Linked DNA regions of Caenorhabditis elegans. The protein of the gene in region 2 interacts with the protein of the main gene of each other region in a pairwise test. Each region holds a gene or a part of one and is shown on either strand. Other genes may lie near its edges. The genes, in order: C05C10.5, lag-1 and col-81.

Region 1 (10,123 bases), on a different chromosome or scaffold from region 2:
GTACAATCGGGCTGTGAAAAATAAATGGTTTTACCGGAAAAAAAATACAAGCACTGGACAATTTATATACAAATAAAATTGAACCGGTCTTTTAGAACACTTTTCATACAGCATAAGTCATTTCCACAATATCACGAGCAATATTTTTTCCCGAGTCGTTCGAAACTGCATCCTTGAGACGAGCGGCAATTTGGGCAATGTTACGATTTTTGGCAAGCTGGAAAATATTGCGTTTACAATGTTTGTTATTTCTAGAAAACTCACTCGAATAACTGAGGCATCTCCCCACATGACTGTAACTAATGCTTGAAGCAGACGAATGATGGCGTCTTCACCCAAATATCCGAATGAGTCGACGCTTTCGATTCCCTTAAAAATAGAAGATATTGTTAAATTCTCGAATCTGAAGAATTACGTTCAAAATGGCTCTCAATAAGTCTTCCTTGGGTCCCAGCTGTTCGCATTGCTCGGATTGTTGCAATAAAGCAAGAGACCAGTTGGCAAGAGCTGTAGCAGCAGACATTTGGAGAACCGTCTTTTCATTAAGAACTTGACGAACAACCAGTGGGGCTAGAGTAGAGAGCTCGGTGGAAGCAAACAGGTTGCGACCGACTGGATGCGAAAATGCATTTGCGATGCATCTGTAAATAAATTACAACGATTATATCTTGACGAAAATATATATTTGTTCTTACCTACAAACCAGAACCTTCAAAGCCACATCAGCCGGATCTGACACAAGAATAGCAATTAATCTTCCGACAAGTTCCTGACCACGTTCACGATCACAGAAATACGAATTCAGTGAATGATGAGTTAGTGCGATTCTCAGAAAATCAAGAACTGGCGTCAAGTGCTCCACTGGCCATTGTAGAGACATTTCGAATGCAGACTGCGTGACTTCTGATGAATAATTCGAAGAGGTTGGGAGAACAAAAAGTTCCTCAAGGCCATTAATCTGATCAGGATTCAATTGGAATGCATCCTGCTTTTCATTTAGCTCTTTCAGTTTTGCAATTGCTTTCTCGCCTTTTCCAGCAAGCCCAATCTGAATACATTGAATTAAGTATGTTGAATTTTGAGGAGAAGAATTAGAAAACGTACAATGTAAAAATCAGGAACTGGAACCAATGGTCCACGTGGTTTCTTCTTGTTTTGTGGAAGAGATGATAGAGGAACGGCATGACTTCCAGTATTTTCAGGTGCGGACGCACGATATCCACCGTCTCCGGTAAGAGGATCACCAGAAAAACCAGTGTCAAAGCCACTCGAGTTTGATGCTTGAGGTACGTATCTTCCGGATCCGGTGAAAGGATCTGCACCGTGACCGCCAGAATTCGACGAACCTGGAATTCAAATATTGAAATTGTGGAGTTATTGATTTCTTTATTTCAATGAACCTTGAGGTACATATCTTCCTGGTCCAGTAAACGGATCCTCATATCCAGACTGAGCAGAAGCAGCTCCTTTCGACAACTTGTCCATCTCCTGACTGATCATTCCAGCAAGAGAAGGGATAACGCTCACAGGAAGTTGATGTCTCTCCACAAAGCGTTGAGCAGCAAACTGAGGGCTCTCATTCACGTTGAATGGCATTTGCTTGTCCGGCTCGCCTTTTCCAAAATTAACACCTAATGCGTAATCGTACTCTTTTCCGTCGACTATAACTTTTTTGCCAGATTTCAAGTCAAATGCCCGAGCTTCTGGAATACGGTCCTGAAATAAATGAAAATCAACATTGAAACATATTAATGGAAAAAGCAAACCTTGATGAATCTAGTAATCTCCTCCAGATAGTGAATTGGCAAATTATTCTCACTCAAAAACTCTTGAGCACAAAGACCCGGATCTGTTCCCTTTTTGTATTTGAGATTTAGTTGAGTCGGTCGATCGTCTATGTCAACTTTGATAGTGACAGTTTCATGCTCTTCTTGCTTCATCCTTTCCGTCTTCGCAGTAAGCTTTGCGACAACTTCTGCATCAAATGCATCTAAGATATCATCGTCAGCTTTTCTATTCTTATCAGTGGTCATGATATAGATCCGTCCATCACTTCCAGCCACAGCGATATCGGAATTTAATAAAACTTTAGCATCCCAAGTGTTCGTAGTTGGTAATTGAATAACTGCTTCAGAAACAATTGCCAAATTTCCATCTTTGCCTCCATCTATTGCCCAAAATTCAAGTGTTCCGTCTTCACCAGTTGTTAATATGTGGGAATCGCTCAATGTCATACTATAAATGAATTCATGTGCCTGAGTTGCAAATTTTCTGAGAATCGACGCTGATGCAACATCCCAATGAATGATATGTCCATCGTTTCCAGCAGATAAAAAGTGAGAGCTTGATAATACGACGAGAGCTCGCACGACATCAGTATGGCCTTTGAAAACTGAGAGAGTGGTATCTCCAAACCACATACGAATTGTTTTATCAGCACTGGCAGATAGATAAGTGTTGGGAAGATCCGGGAAAGAAGCGAGAGCCCACACAGACAAGGTATGGCCTGGACAAACAATAGTCTGGAACTAATTTAACTTTAAAATCCAGTAAAAAACGATTAAAAATATATTACAGTGAATGACGACGAGTTCAACTCGGTAATCGGCCAGATGATGACGTTGGAATCCCACGAACCACTCAGCATGTGAGTCGCTTTTTCGTTAATGTGAAGACAGCAAACTGAAATTATTCATTTTGCACTTTTGAATATTTTTTAAAGCAAAAATACCATTCTGTTTATGCTCATTGAAAATTGCATATGGTTCCGCCTGACTCGGGCCAAAAACTGCAATTGTTCCATCTCTTCGGCCAACAAAAAGTCTCCATCCGTCCGCTAGTTCAGCGTATGCAATGGAGTTCACAGTTATTCCTTTCGGTTGTTCAAAGGCGTGCGTTTTCGTATACTGTTTTCCTTTTTTTGCCCAAAATTTAACCGTCTCATCACGACCACCCGATATCAAGCATCCGCCTTGAGTAACTGCCAAAGCCTTTGTGTCGGATTTGTGGGCTTCAATAACATGGGAAATTGTGTACTGTGGCATCTGCAAAATAAATTCCACTTCAATTCGGCAAATTCTAAAACTCACACTTTCCGTTTCCATTGGCACGTCACCGAGACCGTCATCTGCCATTATCTGAAGAATAGCTTTTAATTAAAGTTAATCAACAAAAAAATATAACGAAATTGAGAAAAATCCGAAAAAGTTTTGATGACAAACTGCAAACGATGCTCCGAACTAACGCCACATGGAAGAGGATTTCTACGACCCCGCAGTAGGCAAATTTGCGGGAATTCAAAATTTAACACTGATAGGATGCAATTTTTTGGAGAAGGGCATTCAGATTCGCTTAAATAAATATTTGAAGTTTCACAGAACATCAAGACTTTGCAAAGAGTGTTAAAAATTCAATAATTAAAAATAAATAATACTTTTATCGGCAAACTTTTTTTAATTTAGTAGGTTTTTTGAGAGCGAAATTTACATCGCACTAGATAGTCTCGAAACAGGAGTGATACCTTTTTAATTCTTCAAAAAAAAAACAAGAAAGGAACCGAGTTTGATAGACAATTGATTTATTTTTGTCCTACGCAAGTATAAATGGGGAAACGGTGTTGGTTCATTATAAAACAACATAAAAACGCTAAAACAGCGATACCAATAGACTACAAACATTAAACGAAAGTTATTATTGCACACAACTAATCAATGAGTGGGGTGGATTCAAGAAGATTGATTATATTAAGGAATTATAGGTATATCACAATTATGACTCATGGCAACAATAAGGTTTAGTAAATTTTTTAAAGATAAAAATGCGATCTCAACTGGAAAAATGTGGATAAAACGTTGAGGGGCAGCAATTTCAGTCCTGGGAATCATGTAGACAGATTGCCGACCTGTCTGAAGATTGATTTACCGCTATCCGGAAGTCGTCCCATTCGCTGCAGAATGATGTACTCGTCGGCTGCTGGAAGTGTATCCTCCGTTGGCATTTCGTCGAATGGCCCAAGATACCGGGTTTGCGATCTGAAAATTTTAATATTTAAATTGAGCCTAAAAACAGCTAGAAAATCCAAACTCACTTGGCAAAGAACTCTCCAGGTGTCAGAAGACCACGGAAGAAGCGATTGAAGTCCTTTGGAATCGCACGAACTCCTGGCAATTGTGTCGGGGAGAGTGCTCGACGACGTGGCTGCCCATTGTCGATATTTCCTGCACGCATATTCTCTTGATTTATGCGATTTGCAGCGTCTTGTGCTGGTCTTCTGGCGTCATTGGCGTTCAATTGCCGCAATGGACGCCGCTCTGGAAGTCGAATCGGAGCCACACGGTTGACACGTGGCGGCGGTGTCCGTCTGATCGCTCTTCTGACGTCTGGTGATGGTTCACGTGGTGGCGGGCTTTGCGATCTTCTGCGGTCAAGCCTGAATAATCTTATTATAGAAACAATTATATAACATTTTGGGACAAACAATTCTCTCCATCCCTTTTCGCTGAGCTCCGAGGCTCTGGTCCATCCACTGGGGAAGATTTGGAATGGATCTGCAGGCGGGGGACACAGAATATCAGCTTCTACCTGAAAATATAAATATTGTAAACGAATTTTAATTCAAGAACTCACAGCACGCAACTGGTCCCAGCGATTTCCATGAAAATGCTCCATAATTAGTGTGTGAAATAGGTGAGAGGGAGAAAAAATGGGTCTGTGGAATGAATGACAAGCGAAAATTTAAATGAAAAAATCAGAATTTTCCCGCGCATAATTTTAATTTTCGACTGATACACTTTCATCGGTAAAATAGAGGCAGATCAATAAAATAAGTAGGTCGAAAATAATTGTTTTTGTTTTTTTTTAAACGCGCGCGCACAAATAGTTCAAACACGATGACGCAAAAATACACAGTTTCGCAGTTTTTTTAAATTTCTTTTGTTTTACAACACTCTTTTCTGAAAAATGTCAGATTTTGACGATTCTGATTCAGAATTTCAAGGATTTGAGCTAAGGTTTGTTTTATTTTAATAACTAATAATAATTCTAATATTAACTTTTACAGATCACCTCAGATCCATGTAAAAGAATTCTTGATAGTCGAAGAAGAAACTCCAAAAATCATCAAAAAGGAAGAGGTTCCAAGGAAGTTCGAATCCGAGTTTGTTGGCTCATTTCTGGGAGAAAGTCCAGTTGTACTTTCAAAAGAAACAGCGTTTGGAGAAGCTGGAGAGTCGGAAGTTCTGGATTGGGATGCCAGTACAGTTTTCAACAGCCTAGCTTGCCCTGAAAACAACCTGTGCGTTTTTTAAAAGTATACATTTTATAAAGAATTAAATTTGCCTTTTTCCAGAGAAAAGTCAGTATGCGTCATTCGTCTCCACGACGTCCTCACAAAATCCGAAATGGGAGTACACAAAATGAAGCGACAACTTATTCATTGCGGGTCGGTCTTGGAAATCAAACTTTTCATCAATTGTCAATTTTAAGACAGCTCCTTGATGAATATTCTCCTCAACAACGTCGTGATTTGGGCTTTGATGATTCTCAAAATGTGAAGAATCTTCTTCAAATGATCCGAGCGTTCCGGTCAACTGTTAAAATCATGCTGATCGACGTGGAGGATCTTCAGGACCAGATTACACAAGAAGCGCAAGATGAGACCCCAATTATATCCAAATTTTCGAAACTTTTATACGTTTCCGGTGCATTAGCCGTCATTCCTATTTGTTGGTTTATGTACCGCAGATTTTGTTAAGTTATCTTTTAAATCTTGAATAAAAATTTAAAAAAAACATATGTTTTATTAAAATTGCTCTTATTCGTAACTATGTACGGATTTATATATATTTTTTTAATTGTACAATTCGCTAAAATGACAGTAAACTACATTTGAAAATTTTATTTAAAAAGAAGCTAACGTCAGTAGCACACTTGTGTCCTGGCCACCTGTCTCTGTTGCCCTCCCATCCTTATCACAGATCACACTTCAAACATCAAACTTCTCAAGGCAGAACTCCTCCCAAATATCACCCGAATTTTTCTTCTCAAAACTTTTCGCCAGTCTCACAACCACGTGTTTCCCAGACCTTCAGTTAACTTCACTTCTCATTTTCCCTGATTTTCTGTCTGCGTCTCTATAAAAAGTAGACAAAAAATGCGAAAAAGAAACGTTTTTGTGTACTCAAGTTGTGACACACTCGCTCAGACTATTGGCTACTGATGGTTTTTAGTTTTTTTTTTGCTTTAGACAATTCTACCTCTAAAAATTAAGATTTTATAACAGTTTTCTAAATTTTTATTAGTTCAGTGAATTTATCATGATTTTTCTAGAGCCCCATCGGAATTAACATTGAAAATTTTACCCAGACGCGTTATTTTTGCAACTTTTGTACTAAAAATACAGAACCCGGTCTCGACACTGCAAAGTTTGTTAATTGAAAAAATATGTGTACCTTTAAAGAGTACTGTAGTTTTAAAATTTCGTTGCAGCAAAATTTTTATATTTTTTCTCGCATTAAACTTTAACTGTTTTTATTGTTTTGTTTTAGTTTTCTTGATAATATTTTGAAATACTTGAGATAATTGAAAAACTGTGAAAAAATCTATGAAAATCATACAGAAACGATAGTTTGAAATTACCGTACATTTTAAAAGCGCACTCCTCTTCGCGTTATTACGGGAACAATAAATCATGAGAATGCGTACTTGGTACCGTAATAAATAAAAAATTGTCGTGTCGATACCGGGTTTTATTATTTTCAGTAAATGAGACGTTCCCATCACTAAAACGTTTTATTTGTACGTTTCCGCTACTTTATTGTAAATAATATTGATAAGAAATCAAATACGCAACACGGAAATTGTTATCGAGTATCAACACACAATTATAATCTTTTCTACTTAATACCGATTCCTTGTTCCACAAATTTGACTTTCTGGTTTTTCCATCTTATAATCCTAAATATATTGTTTCTTTTTCCAAAATTAAAAAAATTTTCATTCAGATAAAATGCCGATTCTCTCAAAAATATGGGCGGCTCCAGCAGCTGGAATCTTGAGAAAAACTCCGAGAAATGCTCATCAAATGAGGCTAATCTCAATGACATCCTCGATGAAAGCAAAAGTCTTTAACTCTGCCGAAGAAGCCGTGAAGGATATTCCAGATAATGCAAAGCTTTTAGTTGGCGGTAAGATTTGGAATTTTTTTATGTTACCAAAATTTTGCGATTTTTGCGCCAAAAATACGGTAAGTCGAAATTACAGTACTCTTTACCTTTTTGCATTCAACGAAAATGTTTGTGTTGAGAACAGTTACCGTATTTTTGGCGCGAAAATCACAAAAAAATGTGTCTCGGCAATTTTGAAAATACTTTAATATCAATAGAAATAAAGTAACCAATTTCAGGCTTCGGACTATGCGGAATCCCAGAAAATCTCATCCAAGCTATCACAAAAACTGGTCAAAAAGGTCTTACATGTGTATCAAACAATGCGGGAGTTGATAATTGGGGACTTGGCTTGCTCCTTCAAACTCGACAAATCAAGAAAATGATCTCATCGTACGTCGGTGAAAACGGAGAATTTGCTCGACAATATCTTAGCGGAGAGCTCGAGTTGGAATTCACACCACAAGGAACACTCGCCGAACGAATTCGTGCAGCTGGTGCCGGTGTTCCCGCATTCTACACACCAACAGGATACGGTACCCAGATTCAAGAAGGAGGTGCTCCGATTAAGTACAGTAAAACTGAAAAAGGAAAGATTGAAGTTGCAAGTAAAGCGAAAGAAACACGACAATTCAATGGAATTAATTATGTAATGGAAGAGGCTATTTGGGGAGATTTTGCATTGATCAAGGCGTGGAGAGCAGATACTCTTGGAAATATTCAATTCAGGTAAGAATTAAAAAAATTAAAAAATCATTTTTGAAAAATTACAACAACAACAAAAATCAAAATTTCAGACATGCTGCTGGAAATTTCAATAATCCAATGTGCAAAGCCTCTAAATGCACCATCGTCGAAGTAGAGGAAATCGTCGAACCGGGAGTAATTGCTCCAAACGATGTGCACATTCCATCAATCTATTGTCATCGTCTAGTTTTGGGAAAGAACTACAAAAAACCAATCGAACGGCCAATGTTCGCACACGAAGGACCAATAAAACCATCTACATCGGCTGCTGGAAAATCGAGAGAAATCATTGCAGCACGTGCAGCTTTGGAGTTCACAGATGGAATGTACGCCAATTTGGGTATCGGGATTCCGACTTTGGCGCCAAATTATATACCAAATGGATTTACTGTTCATTTGCAAAGTGAGAATGGTATTATTGGAGTGGTAAGGAAATTTAAATTAATTATTTTTATTTTCATTTTTGTTTTTCAGGGACCATATCCAAGAAAAGGAACAGAAGACGCCGATCTCATTAATGCTGGAAAAGAGCCAATTACTCTTCTCAAAGGAGCTTCAATTGTTGGTTCTGATGAATCATTCGCAATGATTCGTGGTTCTCATATGGATATTACTGTGCTCGGTGCACTTCAGTGCTCACAGTTTGGAGATTTAGCGAATTGGATGATTCCGGTGAGCTTTGAGAAAAAATAGATCACTGATAATTCGTTCTTTGTGTTTTAATCGACCGAGTGATAAGATAAATATGATCAGTGATCTGAAATTATTTATCAGTGATGTCTAAAAACGCTCGAAGTTTCAACTAAAAAAGATAAGCAACTCAAATTAAATAAAATGCACGCAGCACATAGACTGATCGAAAATTATTAACCGAACAATTTTGGCCAGATCTAGTCTCAATAAAAATAATTTTTTGATTAAAAATATTAATTCTACAAAACTCCAAAAAATCTTGATTTTATTTCTTAAATATATATCTGAATTTATTTTGTTGGTCCGAAAAAACTTTAAAAAAAAAACGAAAAACCCCCAAAAACAAAAAATTTAGACAACTTCATAAAAATATACTTTTCCGCTTAATCTTCCATCTTAATAAATTTCTAAAATTTTCCAGGGAAAATTGGTGAAAGGAATGGGCGGTGCAATGGATCTTGTCTCTGCTCCCGGAGCCCGTGTGATCGTTGTAATGGAGCATGTATCGAAGAACGGAGAGCCAAAAATTCTAGAGCACTGCGAACTTCCTCTGACCGGCAAAGGAGTAATTTCCCGAATCATTACTGATATGGCAGTTTTCGACGTGGACACAAAGAACGGATTGACATTGATCGAAGTCAGGAAGGATCTTACTGTAGATGATATCAAGAAACTCACCGCTTGCAAATTCGAAATTTCCGAAAATCTGAAGCCAATGGGACAGGCTCCTCTTAATCAAGGATAATTTGTCAATTTTGACAAATTTCCGTGAAATGTGTAAATACTTCTTTAGTCCGTTGTTTGTTACTTTTTTGTCTTTTGCCTATAATACCGGTTTAGGATTGTGTGAACAAAAAGAGTTTTAATGAAATAGTTCATAAAAAAATATAAAAATTGAGTTACAACAAAAATTACAGTTCCAGTAATTCATAGAGGAGTTTTGCAGAGCTGAAAATTTTTTATAAAGTCGAAATTTTTGGAAACAAGAGCTTACAGTAGTAATATCTGGAAGTGGCTTCAGTGTCTCGGCCAAAGTCTGAAGAGCTCCAAGTGGACACAAGGTGGCTCCATTACAAATTGGAAGTTGACTTGTCACATCAGAAATCGGAGTGTCATCTCCTTCACGGTACAGAACCTGAAAATTTAATTGTTCGAATTTTCTGGTTTCTCTCTGGAATACCTTGAAGAATCTCTCGTTTGTTGACGTGTTTCTGTGGAATTCCATAAATATTCCAGCTGCGTATGCTGGCCATCCGTCAAGTGTGTTAGCGATTTGTGGAATACCAAGAGCAACCAGGACACCGTACACATTGTTGTCATGCTGGAAAACGAATTTGTTGTGAGATCTTGGAAAATTGATTTCAAAAATTAAAAAAAACATTTTTTTTGTCAAAATTTTTTTTTCTGAAAATCCTGAAAAAATTCGCATGAAAAGTAACTAGCTTTTCTTTTCTTTTTTTTTATATTTCAATTTCTTAGAGTTACCTACAATGCTTGCCTACATTCCGACAAGCCTTGAC
Region 2 (10,123 bases):
GAATCTTCCCACGCTACGTGAGTCGGCGCAGTCTCGCGGTTTTTTTTTCAATTTTCGTACCCTTTTTCGAATCGAAAAACGAATTTTTTCAGAATGAAAATCGGATCTCTCTCTCTAAAAGCTACCGTAACCACATCTAATTGATACCCGAGATGAGAGAGAGCACCTGCCTGCTCGAAAAGAACCAAAACATTAGAGCCTATCTGTGTATGTTGTAAGTGTATCAATTATGAACAAATATTGAGTGGTTTGTGTTCAACTAAATAAGAGCTTGTTCTCGCCACCTGTCTTCCTTTTATCTTTACCTTTTCTCATTTCCATATGACTTTTGGGCAACTTTGGCATGGAAAATCGATATGACGCATTCGTACTTCTCCTTGTTTGACAAGAAATCAATCATTCGATCGCTGAAAAAAAATATTATTGCTAACATTAAATCAATTTTTTTTTAAAAAAACCTTGTTAACGATTGAACAGAATCTCCAATCAAACTGTGAAGACTTCCGAGTTTCGCTTGAAATGCCAATTGATAGTTGGTCATCGGATTGGCAACCACTGTTGACGGAGCTCCAAAACTTGAATTTGAAGTGTCCAGGAATGATGATGTGTTTGGAGTTGACTGCCCGATTGTGTAGAATGGATCAGCTGGAAATTAAATAGAAACTTTCAGTTTAAAGCAGATTTAAACCAAGTTTTATCAAAAACCCACCAAATTTGAATATTCCGCCCAAGTTTTTTGAGATATTTTCTACTTGACCGCTGGAATTTCTAGAATTCTTACGGTCGTACGCTTGAAATCTATTATTCTTGAAAGCATTTACAAGCGAGGCCGTAGTAGAAGCCGTTGTAAACGAATTGAAATCAAAATTGAATGGAATTGAGAAATTCGGAGGCGGAAAAGTCGGAGCAAGCGGTGGTGCCACGGAGCTCGGTGCTTCGAGATTCGTGAGTGTAACACCATCAGATGCAGTTACTGTATTGCTAGTGGTACTAGATATCACACTAGTTGGCACATCATTGGAAGACGACGGAGCCCCACCAACCCCATAGTAATAGGGATAATACGAATAGTACGGGTTGAGCATCGAGAGGAATGTTCAATGTGGGATGGGATAGAGGTAATACAATAGGGATTGAATAAAAACCAATGTCTGTGGCCTTGTCGTTTTAAATATGAATGTGTGTGTGAGACACAGGAGAATGATAACGATGTGGGTGGCGCCCGGTCTTTTAGCCGCCACAGGAGAGCCGTTGTGCATAATTTTGATTCTTTTTTGGTGTTGCCGCGACGTGCGCCCATTATAATAAAATAGTATTGGCACACAGTGCGGAACCCTTTCAGTGAGACCTCAAACGAGATGCGAACTACTAGTAAAATTATTTATGTGAATAGTTTATTACAGACTGATAAGGGTGAGAAATTCGAAAAATTATCACATGATAATGGTGTTAGGAATGTTTTGACTTTATAGATTGAGTTGAGCTATCTCAGAACAAGTTTTTAGGTTATTGTACTTGTTATACTAGTTCTATCAGTATTTCACTTCATTTTTAAATAGCTTACATCTCTGTTGCGAAAACTACAATAATTCTTCAAGTGACTACTGTAGCGCTTTGTCTATACGAGATATTTCGGCTAACAAGTTGCAAAATACGAATTCTCAGAATTTACGTAATCCAATTAATACCTCGTTTATTACTAATTTCACTCACCAAATGCTGGTTGTCCTCCATAACTGAGAAGGTGGCTTGGAAGTGGGGAATTGGTAGAGACGACAGTACTGCCAAAGTTATGATACGTGGGTTGCATTTGCATTTGAAGCCACGCGTCTGTTGAACTGAATCCCTGTTGTGCTTGTGGAGGAGGTGGTGGTGGTGGAGCATGATAGTAATATGCATCAGGAGTCGGATAACACATTGATGCAGCTGCACTTAGAGAAGATGATGAGCTATCATATCCACCAGATGATACCATATCAGTTAAACTTCTCGATAGAAGTCCATCATCACAATATAGATGTGGATGATGATGCTGATTGAGTGATGCAGCAGCTGCAGCAGCCGCCGCCGCGGCTACTGTAGACGCTGTCGACTCGGAAGAAGCTACCGAAGACGACTGATGATAATCCATCCCGGAGTGTCTTGGCGTTGAGGGCGACGATGGGACCGATGTGGATGGGTGGCGCGTGAAAGTCGAGTCTTGAAGGGGGGTCTTCGCGGTGCAGAAGCCGCTCTCGTCGTGGGATATCCGATGCGAAGATTCCCACCGAGAATAGTAGAAGCTGAATATTGTGGGGGAAAAACCGACGGTGGGGCTGGCTGTGGGTTTGTGAAGAACGAAGCCGTCTGTCAGCAAGAAGAGCACACAATGAAAAGGAGAGCGGGTGGGAAAACGAATAGTCTCCTCTCCTTTCCTTTCCTCACTTCGGTTTTCTTCCTTCTGCGACTCACAATCGCCACGCCTCCACGAAAACATTCTTTCTCTTCTTCATATAGTCTATAGCTTTTTCTGATGGAAAAGCACACAGAAAGACAAACTGGTAGATGGGCGGAGTCAGAGTATCCAATCAGAGAGAGAGAGCGTTGAGCTCTTCGGATATTTCATGACTGAATAGGTGAACGCTAATTGAGTGGCATCTGGAAACAAAGACGTTCAAAATTGAACCATCCTAATATAGTAACGGTCGCTTTCATTCACTTTCACTCATTTACATTAAATCTTAATCCTCACTTGTTGCCTTCCCGATGTACCATGTGTATACACAGGTGATCTCTTTGTTGCGTTCCGTCGTGGTGGTGGTGCCTCTCATCACACGAGAAGAGTCAAGAAAGTTATGGGATAACGATAAGACAAGAGGATCTCAAGTGATTCATGAGTGTGAATCTTCGTGTGAAAATCGATGGGTTGGTTGGTTGGGGAAAATTCTCGGGGGATGACTGATAGGGAAGAGTGCACATTCAGATATATGGAAAATCGGAATTTCTGGATTCTTGGAGACATCCGAATTAAATCATATCTGTCGAGTCAACCTACAAAGGGAACTTCTTACTATCTTCTCTATTGACTAATACACCTCATTTAAATTGCACTACGGCCATTGTCCACTGTGTGCTCAATTCAAAGAGCATGATGGTACCTCCAGGCACCTGTCGACCAGGTACAGTACTTTTCCTTGATAGCTCTCTGTCTTTGATCTATTTCATTCTATCATTATTCGTGTGAAGTGAACCATCTGCGTAACTCGATTCCTTGTGGTCTCTTGTCAAATAGAGATGAGCACCAAAAGTTCCCACATGAATATGGACAACTATGCATATTTTTATTCACTTCTATATTTATTTCACAGAACTGTGTCGGTCTCTTCCTTTTTGTTTTCCGTTGATTTCCAAATCATAATGAAAACAAGTTCCCCATCAAGCGATTCTCGAATTTTTCGTGCTTCGAGAGAGAAATCATTAGAAAATCAAGAAATCGTAGAGCTCCACACAAGAAGTCTAGGGAGAGCTGAGCTGAGCCGTCGGCACTGCTCAAATTATCGATCGACGTGGGAAAATTCGACGGGAAAAGAGAGTGGGCTTATGAATTAGCCACCAGTCGATGCAGCTAACAGAAGCACACGCGCGCTCACACTCTCACCATTCGGCGGTTTTCAGTTTCCCAAATAACAAGGGAAAGGGAAAAATTTTGAGGGAAATTTCAGTTGGAAGAACACATTTGCAAGGGAAAATCAGAAAAATGTATCTGATACGACTTTTTTTTGGGGGGAAAAAATGGTCTAGAACATGAATTTTGAAAGTTTACATATTTTTTAATTTTGAAAATTTCCAAAACTCACAATTTGTCGGCGAATTTTTCGACTGATCTTGCCCATTTGTTCCTTTCGAAGTTGATGCGACATCACTGTGGCTACTCGTACTGGGAGAAAGTCTCATTCGTTTTGCCGATGGAGATGCGAGTTCTGGAGTTGGCGATTTCTGAAATTGATATTATAACATTTTAAAATATAAGAATTTATTAGTGAAAACTAACCGATATAGTGTCAATTTTGGGAAATAAATTATTCTGCTGCATTTGAAATGTCATCAACGCTTGTATCTGAAATAAAATAAATCAAAAGTTGATAAAAATATCGAATTTTTGAACTCGAACACAATGGGGTGACAATCAATAAATGCAGACGTTGGGAAATTACAGGTCATCTCCGTACGCCTTTTTTGTCTATTTTAAATTATTTTAGATTCTAATATAGTTCAAATAACTAATAATTATAGTTTATAAAATTTAAAATTGCCCAAAATATTGAAATTTGAAAAATTCTTAGAAAAATTTCCAGTTTGTAACTTTTTAATGAATAAAAAACTAGGAATTCAAAAATAGGAACTATTTGGGAAATACAAATTTAGAAAATGTTCTCTTGAAATATTGATGCAAGTTTATTTTCAACATTATATATCTGAAAAGTGAGTCCCAGCGACAATACGAGAAATGTTATGGGAGAAAACTAAAGGCTTTTGTGAATATTTTTCGTGCTTCGGGGGACTGGGAAAATTGATTGATTCGATTAGAAATGATTTTGAGAAATTTTGTGAGAAACGGTTTTTTCTGAGAATATTTAAGCAAAAAACTCAAAATACATATCTAAAAATGAATATTCTTATAATATGAAAGGAAGGAAAAAAGGGCCTAATGATAAAAAAAAATTCGACTTTTTGGAAGTGACCAAAATAGAGCCCATTGTTGAATTTTTCCGTAGGGATTTGGGATTTTTAATATTTTGCCGCTGGTTTCAGCGACTTTTTAGCGAATAGTTCAGTTCTCATTTTTAGGTGTTTTAATTTTAAAAATACTACTCCATGCGCCGTTTTTTTCTTGAAAATCGGAAACTTATTGTCAAGTTTTTTCGAAGGGGGAGTAGATTTTTTGAGTTTTTGCCGAACTATACAAAAGCTGGCCTGAAACGAACCAATTTCATAACGAAAATTCTCAAAAAAAAAACCGGCAATTTTTTGAAAAGTCTCGTTATGAAATTGAAAAAATTGAAAAAATTCAGTTGTTTCGGGCGAGTTTTAGTTAATTTGACCAAAACTGTAAACTTTAATACCCCTTTAACTGGGCAACATGACATTTTTACTTTCAATTTTTTATTTATTGCTGTAATTTTGATATTTTCCGAATTTTTAGAATTTTCTGATGATTTCTACTACCAAAATAAATCAAATCTCACCTGTTGAAGTGCGGCAATTTGGCTCGGCGCTGCAGCGACACCGGCCAGCGGCGATACCGACTGGAACATTGCTTCTGGAACTCAATGATACGTTGTTTGAAATTTCGATGGATTGATTACGAACTTACCTATAAACTTATCCAGATTTCGTGCGGGTTCACCCAGTCTGAAAATTAAAACTTTAATAAAACTTCATGGAAATTATCCAAAGAGGTTTTTAAACAATTAGAGGGACGTGTCAAAAAGGGAGCACCTCCGAATATAATGCTCTCGGAAGAAGAATGAAACTGCCGGGGAGACACATACACGAAGAATCGACAAAATCGGGAGGTGTGCGTATGTTTTATCACTTCTATTCCCACCACTTCGACCTCCGCCTCCGAATCGATCATTAAATTTTGTCGTCGATTCGGAGAAAAGAATATCGGTAAGGAAGCAGAGGTACGGTACTTGTGCGACAAAACGGAGCACCCACACATATTATATTCGTATACGAGAAGAAGAAGTTTGATGGGTTTCGGCGGGATTTTTATGTCGGAATATGGTAAGAAACAAGAGATCGGACAACTAAAAAAGCAGGAGTGTGAAGCTTTGAAACGAGAATAGAAGATCCACGGAATCACTTAAATCTAGTATTTTCAGATTGAAGATGAAATTCTGAGAGAATCCGATCATGAAAACGATTATATTTGAAGCGAATACTGTATTTTTTTCAAATGTTCTTCGAGTTTTAAGTTTGAAAATGACAAAATTTTGAGATTTTCAAACAGTTTTTTTCAATAATTTTTAAATGCATATATGTTTCTTTGATACTGTAAAAGGTCATAGATGAGTACGAATTTTTGGGAAAGAAGAAATTAGCCTTCGAAATCAAAAATAAAATTTTGAGACGAACAATGCTAATATGGAAAAGAAGAGCAAAAAAGATTTGAAAAATTGCGGTAAAATCTGATTACAGAAAGAAGCTCGAATTGAATAAATTTCTCAGAATCGAAAAAGTGCGTTAATTCTAAAGTAGAACAAATTGCTTTGAGTCGGATAACTGATATAACGAATTGAATGCTCAAAATACTTTCCTTTCGACCTATCGAATGCTCCAATTCCATGAATTCTAAAATTTATCCTCAAATCTGAAAAAAATGCACTCGCAATTATTTTATTTTTTTACAAACAAAATACACACAGATTTTTTAATTTTTTTTGTATCGTATATGTCTGATATCTAATTTCGCCGCCCTCGTTTAAATGTGTTTACAGTTATAAGTTCCACATTTATCACCACTTTTTTCTCTGCAAAAACACTTTTTTGGTGATGAAAATGTGAAGAGACCGACCTATTTTTCGTATTGTACATTTTTGTGTGATATGTGGATTGGATGCGCAAGAGGAGGAAGAAGACGGTTACAAAATGATGATGAAAATTGCCATAAAACAAATGATCTACGACAACGGGCGGGATGAACACTTTCTTTTTTCTGACTTTTCAACACATCTTATTGCAGAAAATATTTCCACGCCCAAAGCCGAGAAAATGATCAATTTATCGAGGGAAAAAAAAGAGTATTGACTGCGTGAAAAACAGGTTTCTAATGATATCAACTTGAACCTGCAGGGGGATTCCCCCGTTTTTATTGGTGAGACAGAAGAAACGTGAGAGATTGTGATGATAAGAGAAGAGTAATTAGAGAAACAAGACAAATTATTTTTGGGAAAAGAAATATGACATCGATCAGATGATTGTAATCAGCTGGAGAGTAGGGTCTTTTTGATTTCGAAATTGTTCAGCACATTAAAAAAAATTGAAATTCCTATACAGTTGGCTGGCCGCTTCTGGATTAAAAAAAAATTTCCTTATTCTGTACTACCGTTATTTTAGAGAAAGGAGGAAAATTTCCAAAAAGTACTAAAAAGCCGATTGGAACACGGAAAATCACACCCCAGATTGAAATGGGGTCTATTATCGAATTTTTCTGATCGGATACTTCCTTTACCTTTATATGTATAATTTTTAAAGATCTAAAAAGGGAATTTATGAAAGAAGACAAGAAAATTGAAATACGATAAAGGGGGAACGAACTTTCTTACTTTGAGTGAAGTCTCGTGTTTTTTAACTTTAATTGTTCATTAAAAAAGAGAGTTTTGGATTTCTGCGCAACTTTTAACAATTTTGTGTCTTTCCAATAAAAAAAAAAGAATTTTCTTATTCAGCTCAACAACTGCTCGGCTTGAAAAAACCTCCTTATTCAAAAAGTCAATCACACAACTCCTTTTTTGAACCAACCGACACTCTCTCTCTCTCACGCCTAATAACTATTTTAATCTCCAATCTAATCGGACACTTTTACCACCTCTAATGCACCGAGAGATTCGGATTGTGTGTCGGTGCAGGTGCAAAGTATGGAACAATTTATAAAATTTACAGTGAAATAACGACGATTCGAGTCTCTAATTATTACAGTACTAGAAGCCAGTGAAGAATCATCAACGGTCGTCAAGGAATAGGTGATGAGATAGGAAAGTGTTGCTGCTGCTGCACACAAACACGGACACATAAAATTGTTATATTGAATAGAAAAAGAAGACGACGGGGTCATGTTGGGTAATCGGTAAAAGAGGAGCTGCTGGAGAAGGTGTGAGAAGAAACGCAGAAAAAGTAAACATAAAAGAAAAGAGAATCAAAGAAGAGAAATGCAACATGTATCCACGAAAAGGTAATGTTCCTTGGAATGGTTGATAAATAGGCGAAGTTTGAAATACGAGAGGATGATCTTAGAGGTGTGAAGGATTGGAATAATTCAAATTTTTTGTACAATCTAATGAGGAATTATTATTACCCAGATCGTGACGAGACCTGCCTTCACGATTCCAGCTTTAATATGATTACGATGTAGAAAATTCAAATACTGGCATAGAATATATAACTAGTTTTCAAATTCTACAGAGAAAATATCGAAATCAAAAACTGAAATTCCAATTTGTATCCAAATAAATAGCTCTTCAAAAATCAGGAAAAAGCATCTTTCAGATATTTTTTTTAATCAAAAAATTCGACCGTCACCGCGTCATGTGCGAAATTGCCCAGAGCATCATGGGAACCTCAACATCAAAACATTGAGAAACTGACTGGTACTGACCGCCGCCGTCGCCAGCGACACCTCAGTCATGACATTTTTTGAAAATGTATACCAGCTAAACAAATATGGAAATCAGTGTGTGACTGGAAAAAAAGAACCGCCGAGGGTGGCGTCGGTGGGAAAATGTCCACACAAGACGGCGCGGCGTAGAACGAACGAGAATATGGGCGGGCAGGACGGCGGGTTCGGTAAAATAAGAACTGTGTGAGAAATATACACGGGAAAACTATGATAACAATTCAAAGTTGATAACAGGAAGAGAGCAAGAGCAGGAAAGTTCTCCGTTGATTGTTGATATTTTGTCAATCAAGGTATGATTCTTTACGAATTAATGGAAAGCTTTTAATTTTTATTTTAGGCTTAGTAATGTTGTTTTCTAAGCCTAAAAATGAAAATAGTATTAAAATGAACATTCACGTGAGAATTAAATTCGAATAATTCAATGATTGGAATATTCTTCTGAAAATGCGGGGTAGAAAAGGAAAAGTACCAAAATAATTTTTGAATGTCGTATAATCATCTGGAATCTAGAAGAAGCATGCCTGTAAGTTAGGCTGTAACACCGAGATACGAGAATCTAGTCAACTTTAAAAGTTACTGCAATTTCTTAGTACTTTTCAATCTTCCCACCAGTTGGGGGGGTTTCCCAGGGACGCATCATCTTGTGTGCGTATGTGTTGTCTCTTCATTGCCACAAAGACAACCCCCCAACCACACCGAAGATTGTTGTATTCCCACAGAGACGCAGTGAAATAAAGAACCAAAGTCATTGGGAAACTTTTAGAGAGACAGTCCGTAGGAGTGCCCCCAGTCTCTTATCACTGATCAAGAGGTACTGTAGTTCTAGTCTAGCTCCTAGACGAGCTAGAAAGTTCGGAGAAAGCCTGGATGGAAAAACAAAATGCTTGAGAGAGGAACGTGTGAAAGATGGAATATCGTGGGAAAAAGCGACGAGTGGGAAAAAAAGGTTGGCCTTGTGGGCTGTGTCGGTGGTCGGTCGGTTGCGGGGCCGTTTGCAGACGATGAAAAGAAGGAAAAAAGAGAGAGGAGAGAGAGGACACACTTCTCAAAATGTCTGCGCATCTTCATCTCATATACTATTCTTGACAAGTAAAGAGGGACGGCCTCCGGGCATTCTCTCACACTCTCTTTCACTCACATATACACAGACAATGTGTGAGAAAGGGATGGCGAACTGGCCGTTGAAAAGAGAGAAAAAGGGGAGGGAACTGGTGTGTGTGTGTGTGTGTGTGTGTGGTGGGAAAAACGAGCGTGGGAAAGTGTCGGCGGTGGCGGCTGCGACAGAGGACGATGACGGAGAGGACGCCGGACAGGATGGACGTAGGAAATAGTAATGAAACTGGAGAGAATGATGGAAACATAGAACGGGCACGACCTTTGTCGTATGGGAAACTGACGGTTCCAATATGATACTCCGAACTTTGGAATTATCATGCTTTTGGAGATTTTTATTGGCGATTTGAATATTGTAGAACTTGTAGAAATTAAAAAAAAAATCAGATCTGATCCGGAAAAGCAAATTCCTGGCAGTGCGGAATGTAATTTTCCAAATATTTCGGTCCGCTTTTTGTTTCCTGAAATCAGTACGTTTCGTGTTTTTTTTTCGAGACTCAGCTTGGAATACAATATACAAAAAGAAAACCTGAGACTTCGCAAAAAATTTGAATCTAGAAAGAGGGAAATCTTGTTCAATAGCATCAAATGTGCTGACCTAAACAGCTGCAGTTGGTGATAGTTTCATTT
Region 3 (10,030 bases), on a different chromosome or scaffold from region 2:
GACCAATTTTCGAAATTCAAAATTCACCCACATTGTGTAGCAATACGATCTAACTTTAAAAAAACTACATAGAATCTAGATATAAAACGTATAAACATTTCCCACGATAAAGTAGGGCTATTGTTTTTGTGCAAACATTGAAATACATACATCAATATCTCTACATTGCAGTTGTATGACGGGTTCACCAACTACCCACTCGAGCACAACCTTCACTACCGACTGATGATGCGGGCGTTTGCGAAAAATGATGTGCGAACCAAGGACAGTGTAAGTTTACTTTTCCCGTTTTTTTTTTCAAGATAGATCGACATCATTTTTAAATTTGAATCCAACTTTTTTAATTCGAAATTTTCAGTTCGAACAACGTGCACCAATGAGCGAGAAGCTGTCCCGTATGTACTCTGATTCTGTTCTAACTGAGCCATTCACAATCAAATCGGCTCTTCGCGGAGCTTCGCAGAAGTCGTCTCCTTGGGTTGGAGCGTGCATCGCCTTCTTGGTCTTGTTCTCGATTGTTGGAATGCTGATATGTTGGTGGTTGCGTTGCAATAAGAAGTCTGCTGGACGGCATCCACGACATGGTTCTATCACAAAGGTTGCGTTGACTGGAAATATTATGAATGGAGGTGGTGGAATACCTGGAGAAACAAGCAAGTTATTATCGACTTCCAATGAATACGGACGACAGATTATGAACCCCTATGAGCAGATGAATGGAAATCATCATATGGAATCATCGATGGATCTTTATCCTTTGCCAACAAGTCACTCTAGATCTAATGGATATGCACCTGTTCCTGTCGCAATACCATCTCTTCCAAATAATGGAAACAATATGACTACAGTATCCCATCCAGCTGTTCCGATAGCTGAACTTGCGAATCATATCGAGAGGCTTCGAATGAACAATAATGCAGGATTCCAGTCAGAATTTGAATCTATTGAAACTGGACAACACTTCACTTGGGAACACTCGTCTGCTGATATGAATAAGCATAAGAATCGATACGCGAATGTGGCTGCCTATGATCATTCCAGAGTTGTACTTTCCAATGTTGAAGGATATCCAGGAATGGATTACATCAACGCAAATTATGTGGATGGATATGACAAACCAAGAAGCTACATTGCCACCCAGGGACCACTCCCGGAAACATTTTCGGATTTCTGGAGAATGGTTTGGGAGGAGCAATCGGTTACAATTGTGATGTTAACAAATCTGGAGGAACGAAGTCGAGTGAAATGTGATCAATACTGGCCGAGTCGGGGAACTGCCACATATGGAGATATCGAGGTGACACTGTTGGAAAGCGTTCATTTGGCTCATTATACGATGAGAACGATGCGATTGAAAATGGTTGGAGAACCTGAAGTTCGAGAGATCAAGCATCTACAGTATACTGCATGGCCGGATCATGGAGTTCCCGATCATCCGACACCGTTTTTGATCTTCCTGAAGAGGGTGAAAACGCTGAATCCAAACGATGCAGGACCAATCATATCGCATTGTAGTGCTGGAATTGGAAGAACTGGAGCCTTCATTGTGATTGATTGTATGCTGGAACGTCTCCGCTACGACAATACAGTTGATATCTATGGATGTGTTACTGCGTTGAGAGCACAGAGGAGTTATATGGTACAAACTGAAGAGCAATACATCTTTATTCATGACGCTGTCCTTGATGCGGTGAACAGTGGATCCACAGAGGTTCCTGCCAGTCGGTTGCATCAACATTTGCACATTCTTTCACAACCATCAGCTGATCAATTGTCTGGAATTGATATGGAATTCAGGCATTTGACGACACTGAAATGGACCAGCAATCGGTGTACTGTTGCGAATCTTCCGGTAAATCGACCAAAGAACCGGATGCTCAGCGCAGTACCGTATGATTCGAATCGAGTAATAATGAGATTGCTTCCTGGAGCTGACGGATCCGATTACATCAACGCATCATGGATTGACGGTTACAAGTAAGCACATCTTCCCATCTCCCCATAATGATTATGTATTCGGTTTTTTTCAGAGAGCGCGGAGCCTACATTGCCACTCAAGCACCAACTAACGAGACAGCCGCAGATTTTTGGCGAGCAATTTGGGAGCATAACAGCCCGATAATCGCCATGCTGGTACGGACAAACGAACGAGGACAAGAGCAATGTAGTGACTATTGGCCATTGGAAACTGGAGTTCAAGTTGGAATGCTCGTCGTTGAGCCGATGGCTGAATATGATATGAAACATTATCATCTTCGAGAGTTTAGGATTTCGGATATTAATGTGAGTTTTCACCTATGGACGATTCGAAATGTGCCCATTATTGTACTTGTTTAAATGACGTCTAAGTTTAATATTTTCAGACTCGCGAAGTCCGAACCGTTCGTCAATTCCATTTCATGGAGTGGCCTGATGTCGGAAAGCCGCACACAGCAGATCACTTCCTCGACTTTGTCACCCAAGTTCACAATACGTATGCTCAATTCGGATGTACTGGCCCGATTACAGTACACTGTTGCTCTGGAGCCGGACGCACTGCAGTCTTCATCGCACTTTCGATCATTTTGGATAGGATGCGTGCTGAGCATGTTGTTGATGTTTTCACAACGGTAAGAATCGATTTCTAATTTTTTTTAAATGTATATGAATATTAATATTTCAGGTTAAACTGCTCCGAACAGAACGTCAAAACATGATTCAAGAGCCAGAGCAGTATCACTTCCTGTATCTAGCTGCATATGAGTACCTAGCCGCCTATGACAATTTCTCGTAGATATCCCTTTCACCCCCAGTTTGCTTCTAGTTGAAAACTCCCGGTAGAATTGTTCGATCTTTCACACATTTTTTAACACAATTTTCTATTTTTTTGTATTCCAAAAATTACATATAATTTACTGACAAAAACGCACTTCTCCCACTACACGAACGGGTTCAATTTTGTAATTGTTCTGTGTCCTTTTGCCTCGGAAATTTTCATTCTCTTTCTTTCCAAAATGTTACGGGTTACTGTACCCCATCCATTAACACTCTTCTCTTATCCATAGTTCTCCACCCAATCCATTGCTCATGTCTCTCAAACACCCCCCCGGATTGTTTGTAAATATTCGAAGTCTCTTTTTTCTACATCATCATCATTGCTGTTCAGCCATCTTTTTCTAATAATATTGTATTCGTTGGTATGTGATCTTTGTTCTCTTACACCGACTTTGGCAGATTGCTTTAATGAACTAATTTCTATAATTTAACTTTGACGGTTTTTAATGCTCACAAGACGACAAAAGAAAGAAATCAGAACCCGGTCAATTTTCATTACAAAGAAGTATGTCTCTTCGCGGCTCTCGGAAATTGAAAATGGAAAGGTCCAGTGAAAAAAAATTGTAAAAAATTCTAGTTGAACGGTTTATTCATTCGTGTTTGGCTACTACATCATCAGTCATGAGATACTCCATATCGAAAAAAAAATGAAAGACAGAAAACGGATATTTTAATATCCTGGAGCAGTTCTTGGTGGTGGGCAGTGATCGCAAGATCCGGATGATCCAGAATCTCCATCTTCTCCGTCCTCTCCTGGACCTCCTGGTTGTCCTGGTTGTCCGTCATTTCCGGCGTCTCCTGGACCTCCTGGCTGTCCGGCTTGTCCTGGTTGTCCTGGTCTTCCGTCTGGTCCGGATGGTCCTGGCTCTCCTTGGGATCCTGGTTGTCCAGCTGGTCCTGGGGCTCCTGGAACTTCGCGGCTCTCTCCTGGCTGTCCTGGCTGTCCGTCTTGTCCTGGATGTCCATCTTGTCCTGGTTGTCCTGATGGTCCTGGTGGTCCTGGTGGTCCTGGAATAGCAGCTCCTCCGCTTTGTCCTGGTCGTCCATCGTTTCCTGGGGCTCCGGCCTGTCCTGGAGCTCCTGGTGGTCCAGCTGGAGCGTCGGCGCATTCGAAGCAGAATTCTCTGTTTTGTTGGTGCTCGTAGCTGTCGGATCCATCTTGTCCTGGGGATCCTGGGTTTCCAGATTGTCCATCGTTTCCGTCATTTCCTGGACGTCCTGGTGGTCCTTGTGGTCCAGCGGCTCCAACTCCGCATGAGCAGCACTCGGCTTGACGTCTTCTGATAGCCTTTCTACGGGCGACACGTCTCTTGCTCATTCCACGGTGAGCCTCACGCTTGACAACGAATTTCGATGGAACTCCGGTGAACTCTTCGACGACTTCATATTGATTGTGAAGGCTCAGAGATCGGTGCTTGCAGAAGTCAACCTTAAAACAAAAACATGTTTCTTTATTTCAGAAGTATCGATTTTTCAGCTTTACCTCGGAGTCAAGCTTGGACTGAACATGTTGGACGTAGCTGTAGAAGGCTGGGATGGCGATGACAGCGATGAGAGCGGCGGCGATGCTGGAATTGAGAGGGATATTTGTATATTAATTGTAGGGCGATTTTGGTCGATGTACCATGAACGAGAGAAACAAGACATGGTGCATCAATAGCCCACTGAGTTGCTATGTGAAGCTAGTTACTCACAATCAGAAATTAACTAGAGAGTTTCAACGGTGGTCGGAAAAATTTTAAATGGGATTTTTTTGCTTTGGCTAAGCTTAAGGTGAAGTTCATACATATCAAATGAGATCTAGAAATATTCAAAATTGAAAAGAAATAGGAAATTAAAAATTAAAAAAAGAAAACTTACGTAACGGAGATACCAACGAAAGCGATGGATCGGAAGCTCTCGACCTCCTTCTCAACGAGTATTCTTTTGTCTTCCATGTTTCGAATGCCGCTGTATGCTTTCTCATCAACACACAACTGTCCTTATATACCACATTTCCAGAGAAAGTTTACAAAATTGCGATGACCTGCGTCTCGTGGGGTTATCAGTGTCTCTCTTTCTACCCGAATTTTGTGTAAGTTACAGTTTTGTTCGTGGAGAATTGATGGCAGAAGGTGCGCGATGATGGAGTGTTGAACTTGAGGAGTGGAAAATGAAAATATTGCAGGAAAAAAGCAAAACAAAGGTGGAGAAGTGGGGAGAAGAAAGCGGAAGAAGCCTAAAGTTTGTTGATCGAATCAGTGATAAGACAGAAAATAGCTAGCAGTTTTTTTAGGATGGAGAAGAGTAGACTGTAAGGTCAGTAGTTTTCACTTTTCGGGAACCATTTGACACTTTGATATCATTCTTACTAGAGAATCAAAGTTCCCAGTTCAACTGGACGTCTAAATTTTAATTCATAACTTCTTTGAAAAACTACAGTACCCAACCCCTGATGGTTTTCCTGGTTGCTCGGGTAATGACGTTGTCCATCATGTAAAATTCTTGAAACAAGAAATTTTCAAAATTTCAAAATGTCAAAATGTCAAAATGTCGAAATGTCAAAATTGAATTGTCAAAAAACTTTTGAAAAACTTGAGCAATACTTTTTTCTTATTCTCTAAATTAGTCCTAATTGCTCGCCAATTGCCGCCAACTTAATGCTCATTTTTTTTCAAAATTAATAATAAATTATTAAGTTAGTTATTCGTTTATTTTTAATGTTTGTCATATGCCTAACAAATGCTAACAAAATTTTGGCAATTGCTAGGTTAAAATTGAACAATTTTGGCAACCATTGAAAAATAGGAGAATATGTGTTCTTTTTTCAAAATTTCAAGTAAGTACAAAGAAATAACCCAAAACTGATGCTCTTTAAAAAAAAATTTTATTGTAAGTTTCGTTTTTTTTTTGATTTTTCGATTTTACAAAAATTTTCGATTTTTTAAAAATTAGCTTAAAGTTTGGTCATTGCTTTTTTTAAATATATTTTTATTTTTCCTTATATTTTTCTCAACAATTTAAACAAAATTCGATGAAAAATCGAATTTTATGGTCACTTTTCTGAAAATTTTTTTTCGATCTTAATTTGTTCGATTGTTCGATTTCAGATGTTCGTTGAAAAAAAAATCGGAAAATCGAAAAAATCGAAAAACGACACCCTTGATTAACATCGTGCCTTTTTTTGCTATTTTTTTGCTTCAACAGTTCTCAGTTGACTTTAATTTTATCTAACCATTTTTTACCATTAAAAATATGTGTCAACTATTCCTCTACATTTTCATAGTTGCTCAATTTTTAATAAAGCCAAATCCAACCGAAATATGATCTGTCAAAATAGATCAATGGAAGTTCAAGACTAATGGGAAAACTACTTTATGTTGAAAACTGTTTTATTCAATTTTGAATCCAAATATGCCCCTCCCTAGTAGAAATCCTGCAAAAACAACACCTCTCGGAACAGAACACCGTTCACTTTTCGGATTCATCCGAAATCACCTCTTCCATAAAACCGGTCTCATGATGACTTTTGCGAGAGAATGATGTCTCGTTTACTTTCAAACATTCTCCCACCGAAAAGTGTACCTAAATAGGCATATTTGATATCTTTGATTGTGTTATCAAGTGTTGAGGGGATACGTGTTTTTTATGACGAGACGAATCGTCATGTGAAACAAATTAGGCGGTTTTGTTATCCTATTTGATGAATTTCTTGTATTTTTCTTCTTTTTTTGCCTTTTTTTTTGGAAATCCAATGAGAAAAAGAATGAAAAAGAGCATATTTTTGAATGATATAGTAATTTATTCTGAGAATCATGGTGATTGAGAAAACGAAAACAAGAAAGAACACAGAAAATATACATAAATGAAGTCAGAAGATAACAACATTCTAATATCCTGGAGCGGTTCTTGGTGGTGGGCAGTGATCGCAGCCTCCTCCTGCTCCTGGCTCTCCAGCTGGTCCTTGCTCTCCAGCGGCTCCTGGTTGTCCGGCGGCTCCATCGCTTCCAGCATCTCCAGCTGGTCCTTGTGGTCCGTCTTGTCCTGGCTGTCCTGGGGCTCCGGCGGCTCCATCGGCTCCTGGGGCTCCGGCTGGTCCTGGGGCTCCGGCTGGTCCGGCTGGAACAGCGACCTCCTCGACGACTCCTGGGGCTCCGTCTTGTCCGGTAGATCCTGGCTGTCCGTCTGGTCCAGCTGGTCCTGGGGCTCCTGGGGCTCCAGCGGCTCCGGCGTTTCCTGGGGCTCCTGGTTGTCCGTCGGCTCCAGCGTTTCCTGATGGTCCCTTTGGTCCTGGGTTTCCGGCTGGTCCTGGTGGTCCGGCTGGGCAGTCGAAGCAGAAATCGGCCTCGGATGGGGTGGCTTCTGGATCAGCATCAGCTCCTGGTTGTCCGTCTGGTCCAGAAAGTCCATCCTTTCCGTCGGATCCGTCAGTTCCTGGTGGTCCTGGTGGTCCAGATGCTCCGGCCTTGCAAGAGCAGCAGCTTCCTCCAGATGATTGAGTGGTGGCTTGAACAGCGGCATCGGCAGGTGCGTCGTATCCAGCTTGACGCTTGACGATAAGCTTTCCACGAACTCCCTTCAACTGTTGCATACGCTCGTATTGGTCGAAAAGACCATTGGTGCGGTGCTTGCAGAAGTCGACTTCGGTTTGAAGGGTGGATTGAACATGTTGCATGTAGTTGTACAACAATGGAATGGCGACAATTGCGGTCAAAGTGGCAACGGTACTGAAAATTGAAATAGTAAAGAATAGGTACTTAATTGTGATCAACTTTTAGTCTAGACAGATATCTAGGTTAATAAAAAAAACTAATCTTAAACTTTCAAACTGGAAGAAGTAGGAAACATTCGAAAAAGTGAAAAGAACAGAAAGTTAAAAACTAGTAATCAGAATTCTAAAATTAAAATAATAGGAAAATAAAAATAGTAGTGTTATTACCTGATGCAAATGCCAAAGAAGGCGACCTTGCGGAGGGACTCGGCCTCAACCCAAAGCTTCTTCTCGTTATCGGCAGAAGACATGATGCGAATGCTGCTGATTTACCTGCCACCGGCGACGCACTTTTATACACTTGCCTTCGAAAGGCTGCCAAAACAAACGCAGATACGCAAAAAAAACGCGACAGGCGCGGAGGGAAACCACGCCCACATTTTGTTGGAGGGGTAGAGGAGGGACAGGTTGAATGGGTAGAGATGTATTGGGGCTGAAAATGAGTTAGATAGATATAGATCTACTAAGCATTCCGAGTAATCAAGGTCGTTTACGTGAAATCTGTTCGAAAACTGATGAGACGAGCTATTGAGAGGGAAAGTGAATAATGGGAATTGTAGGAGGAAGTTGGAGAAAGAAACAAAATTCACGAGTTCCATTCGAACTTTGATGATTTAAATTGGTTGACATATGTATACATATAAAGTTAGGTTGGCTCTAGGTTTTTCAATGAGCCAAGTATGTTGTGATTTCCAAAAATTGCGGCATTTTTCCTGTAAACTATGACATATCATAAATTTTTTGAGTTCTCCAGAATTATCAGAAAACGCCCATTGAGCTCTGCTGTAGCAGTATTTAGTTATTGCCTCTATGCCGACCGTCATCCGAGACACTTTAAATTTTTCAGAACTTTATTGCTCATCTAGGCTTAATCTACATGATAAAAAATTTTCCAAATGTTTGATTTGTGTCCTGCTGAAATCTACATTCGCTCAGAATCTTCCACACATCGCTTAATATTTTGGCACCTGAAAAAACGTTAAAACACTTCACATTATCACTCCAAAAAAGGAGAGAATCCGATATCCTAATTAATCTTATCAGACAATCACACTTCCGCATCCACCTGTTCGCAACAGGAATATCCGCAACAATTTTCGATTGAAGTTCAGAATTATCAGACATGGTGCATCGATAAACTACGGATCACAACTAGGTTATGTTGGGTTTTGTTTTGTTGAAAACATGTAACAACTACAATTAGGTATCTGATAACTCTAATTTTAATTCTCAGGTTAATTTCAATGTTCCCGATTACTTCCTCAAATCCATCCCACCGTTTCTCCTCCTTGCAGCCAGCCATTTTCTAATTCATTTGCAGGATAAAAGGATAAGCAATCTCATCAGCAAATGAATTCGGAATCGAACGTCGAAGCACACACACACACATACATATACACACTTTGAACGAATTCGACAATTAGGTGAATAGACTTCGTGTAATGTAAACAGGCTGTCATAATCATAAAATAGTTTTCGGAGACGTCGCCGGTGATGGTAGCGGGGTGGTGGTGGTGAACAACTTCTGAAGATCTGCCAATACTTGGAAACTCGAGACTTTCTAGCCTTTATTTAGTCTAATTATGAGCTACCACTCAAATTTTAAACGATGTAGCTCAATTTCAACGCCTTCAAGTTTTGATCTGAAATGTTTCAATGCATTTATTCACTATTTTCGGGGTTCGTTGAGTTGCTCCAAAGCAATTGATGGATTTTTGTCTAACTTGTCTTGTATGCAGTTAGATCTGAAACTAACTGTTTTCCTTTTTAGTAGGCCCACTTGCTTTAAATCCTTTATACGTCTAAGATAAGCTGCATCGTTAAATAGTTGCCGTTCTAAAAGAGAAACCCCCACTGGCAGAACATCAACCAGCTTCTGACAAAATTACAGACTTTTAGGCTTCACCTCCTCTCCTTATCACATTTCCTCCGTTCGATATCTTCGACCTTTTGAAATGTTGCGCATTAGTGAGGAAGTGTTACGAGACATAGTGGAGATTGCCGATAAGTTCCCAATTTTTCCACCAACAAAAAAAACTTAACACTCGCGTCCAATACACGACTGGGGGACGTAGCAACAAGCTTCGTCTCTCTCTCTCTCTCCTGTCGGCAACTAAAAGATATCATCTACGAGACGCAGTTTTTCAGTCACTGTGTAATCTATGCGTTGGCATTTTACCTGTCCATTTTCTCCATTTTTATGATATTTTTGAACAACGCACATTAACACTATTTTGACACCCAGTTTTTCGACAATGAAGCAGCAATAGAGAGGGTGGCAAAATAAAGAAGCGGCTAAAGGTCATACGGAATAATAGAGAATATATGCAAATCGAGAAACGGGAATTCGAAAAGCATGACACTATATCGTGATGAGAAGGTCTTCCCCGTCTTCGACAGTTTTTAGTTGAGGGAGAATTGAAGAAGCTAAAAATTATGTACTCAGGTAAACATAGGATATTTTAG

The links.
Region 1: the proteins of lag-1 (region 2) and C05C10.5 interact in a two-hybrid assay, tested with the Caenorhabditis elegans proteins (3 studies listed by BioGRID).
Region 3: the proteins of lag-1 (region 2) and col-81 interact in a two-hybrid assay, tested with the Caenorhabditis elegans proteins (3 studies listed by BioGRID).

Annotation. Positions count from the first base shown.
Region 1 is NC_003280.10:9,933,772-9,943,894, reverse strand, and holds C05C10.5 (uncharacterized protein), read right to left. Parts: upstream 4,856-10,123; 5' UTR 4,669-4,855; coding exon 4,627-4,668; coding exon of another isoform or gene 4,623-4,626; intron 4,582-4,622; coding exon 4,478-4,581; intron 4,430-4,477; coding exon 4,088-4,429; intron 4,032-4,087; coding exon 3,881-4,031; 3' UTR 3,463-3,880; downstream 1-3,462. Other genes in the region: ufd-3 (Ubiquitin fusion degradation protein 3 homolog), read right to left, coding at 104-217, 265-369, 416-641, 696-1,048, 1,105-1,346, 1,401-1,716, 1,767-2,528, 2,576-2,682 and 2 more; C05C10.7 (uncharacterized protein), read left to right, coding at 4,960-5,009, 5,060-5,293, 5,348-5,440, 5,485-5,752; C05C10.3 (putative succinyl-CoA:3-ketoacid coenzyme A transferase, mitochondrial), read left to right, coding at 7,007-7,184, 7,403-7,892, 7,961-8,336, 8,385-8,582, 9,025-9,348; pho-11 (Putative acid phosphatase 11), read right to left, coding at 9,531-9,551, 9,598-9,738, 9,784-9,924.
Region 2 is NC_003282.8:6,096,690-6,106,812, reverse strand, and holds the start of lag-1 (Suppressor of hairless protein homolog), read right to left. Parts: upstream 5,226-10,123; intron 4,097-5,225; coding exon of another isoform or gene 4,031-4,096; intron 3,976-4,030; coding exon of another isoform or gene 3,837-3,975; 5' UTR 2,477-3,836; coding exon 1,714-2,476; intron 646-1,713; coding exon 459-645; intron 408-458; coding exon 306-407; intron 1-305. UniProt on the Caenorhabditis elegans protein: Transcriptional regulator that plays a central role in lin-12/Notch and glp-1/Notch signaling pathways, involved in cell-cell communication that regulate a broad spectrum of cell-fate determinations.
Region 3 is NC_003280.10:11,009,010-11,019,039, forward strand, and holds col-81 (Nematode cuticle collagen N-terminal domain-containing protein), read right to left. Parts: upstream 4,812-10,030; 5' UTR 4,752-4,811; coding exon 4,675-4,751; intron 4,383-4,674; coding exon 4,298-4,382; intron 4,244-4,297; coding exon 3,485-4,243; 3' UTR 3,388-3,484; downstream 1-3,387. Other genes in the region: ptp-3 (protein-tyrosine-phosphatase), read left to right, coding at 172-270, 359-1,977, 2,031-2,283, 2,364-2,609, 2,663-2,773; ram-2 (Nematode cuticle collagen N-terminal domain-containing protein), read right to left, coding at 6,683-7,520, 7,733-7,815.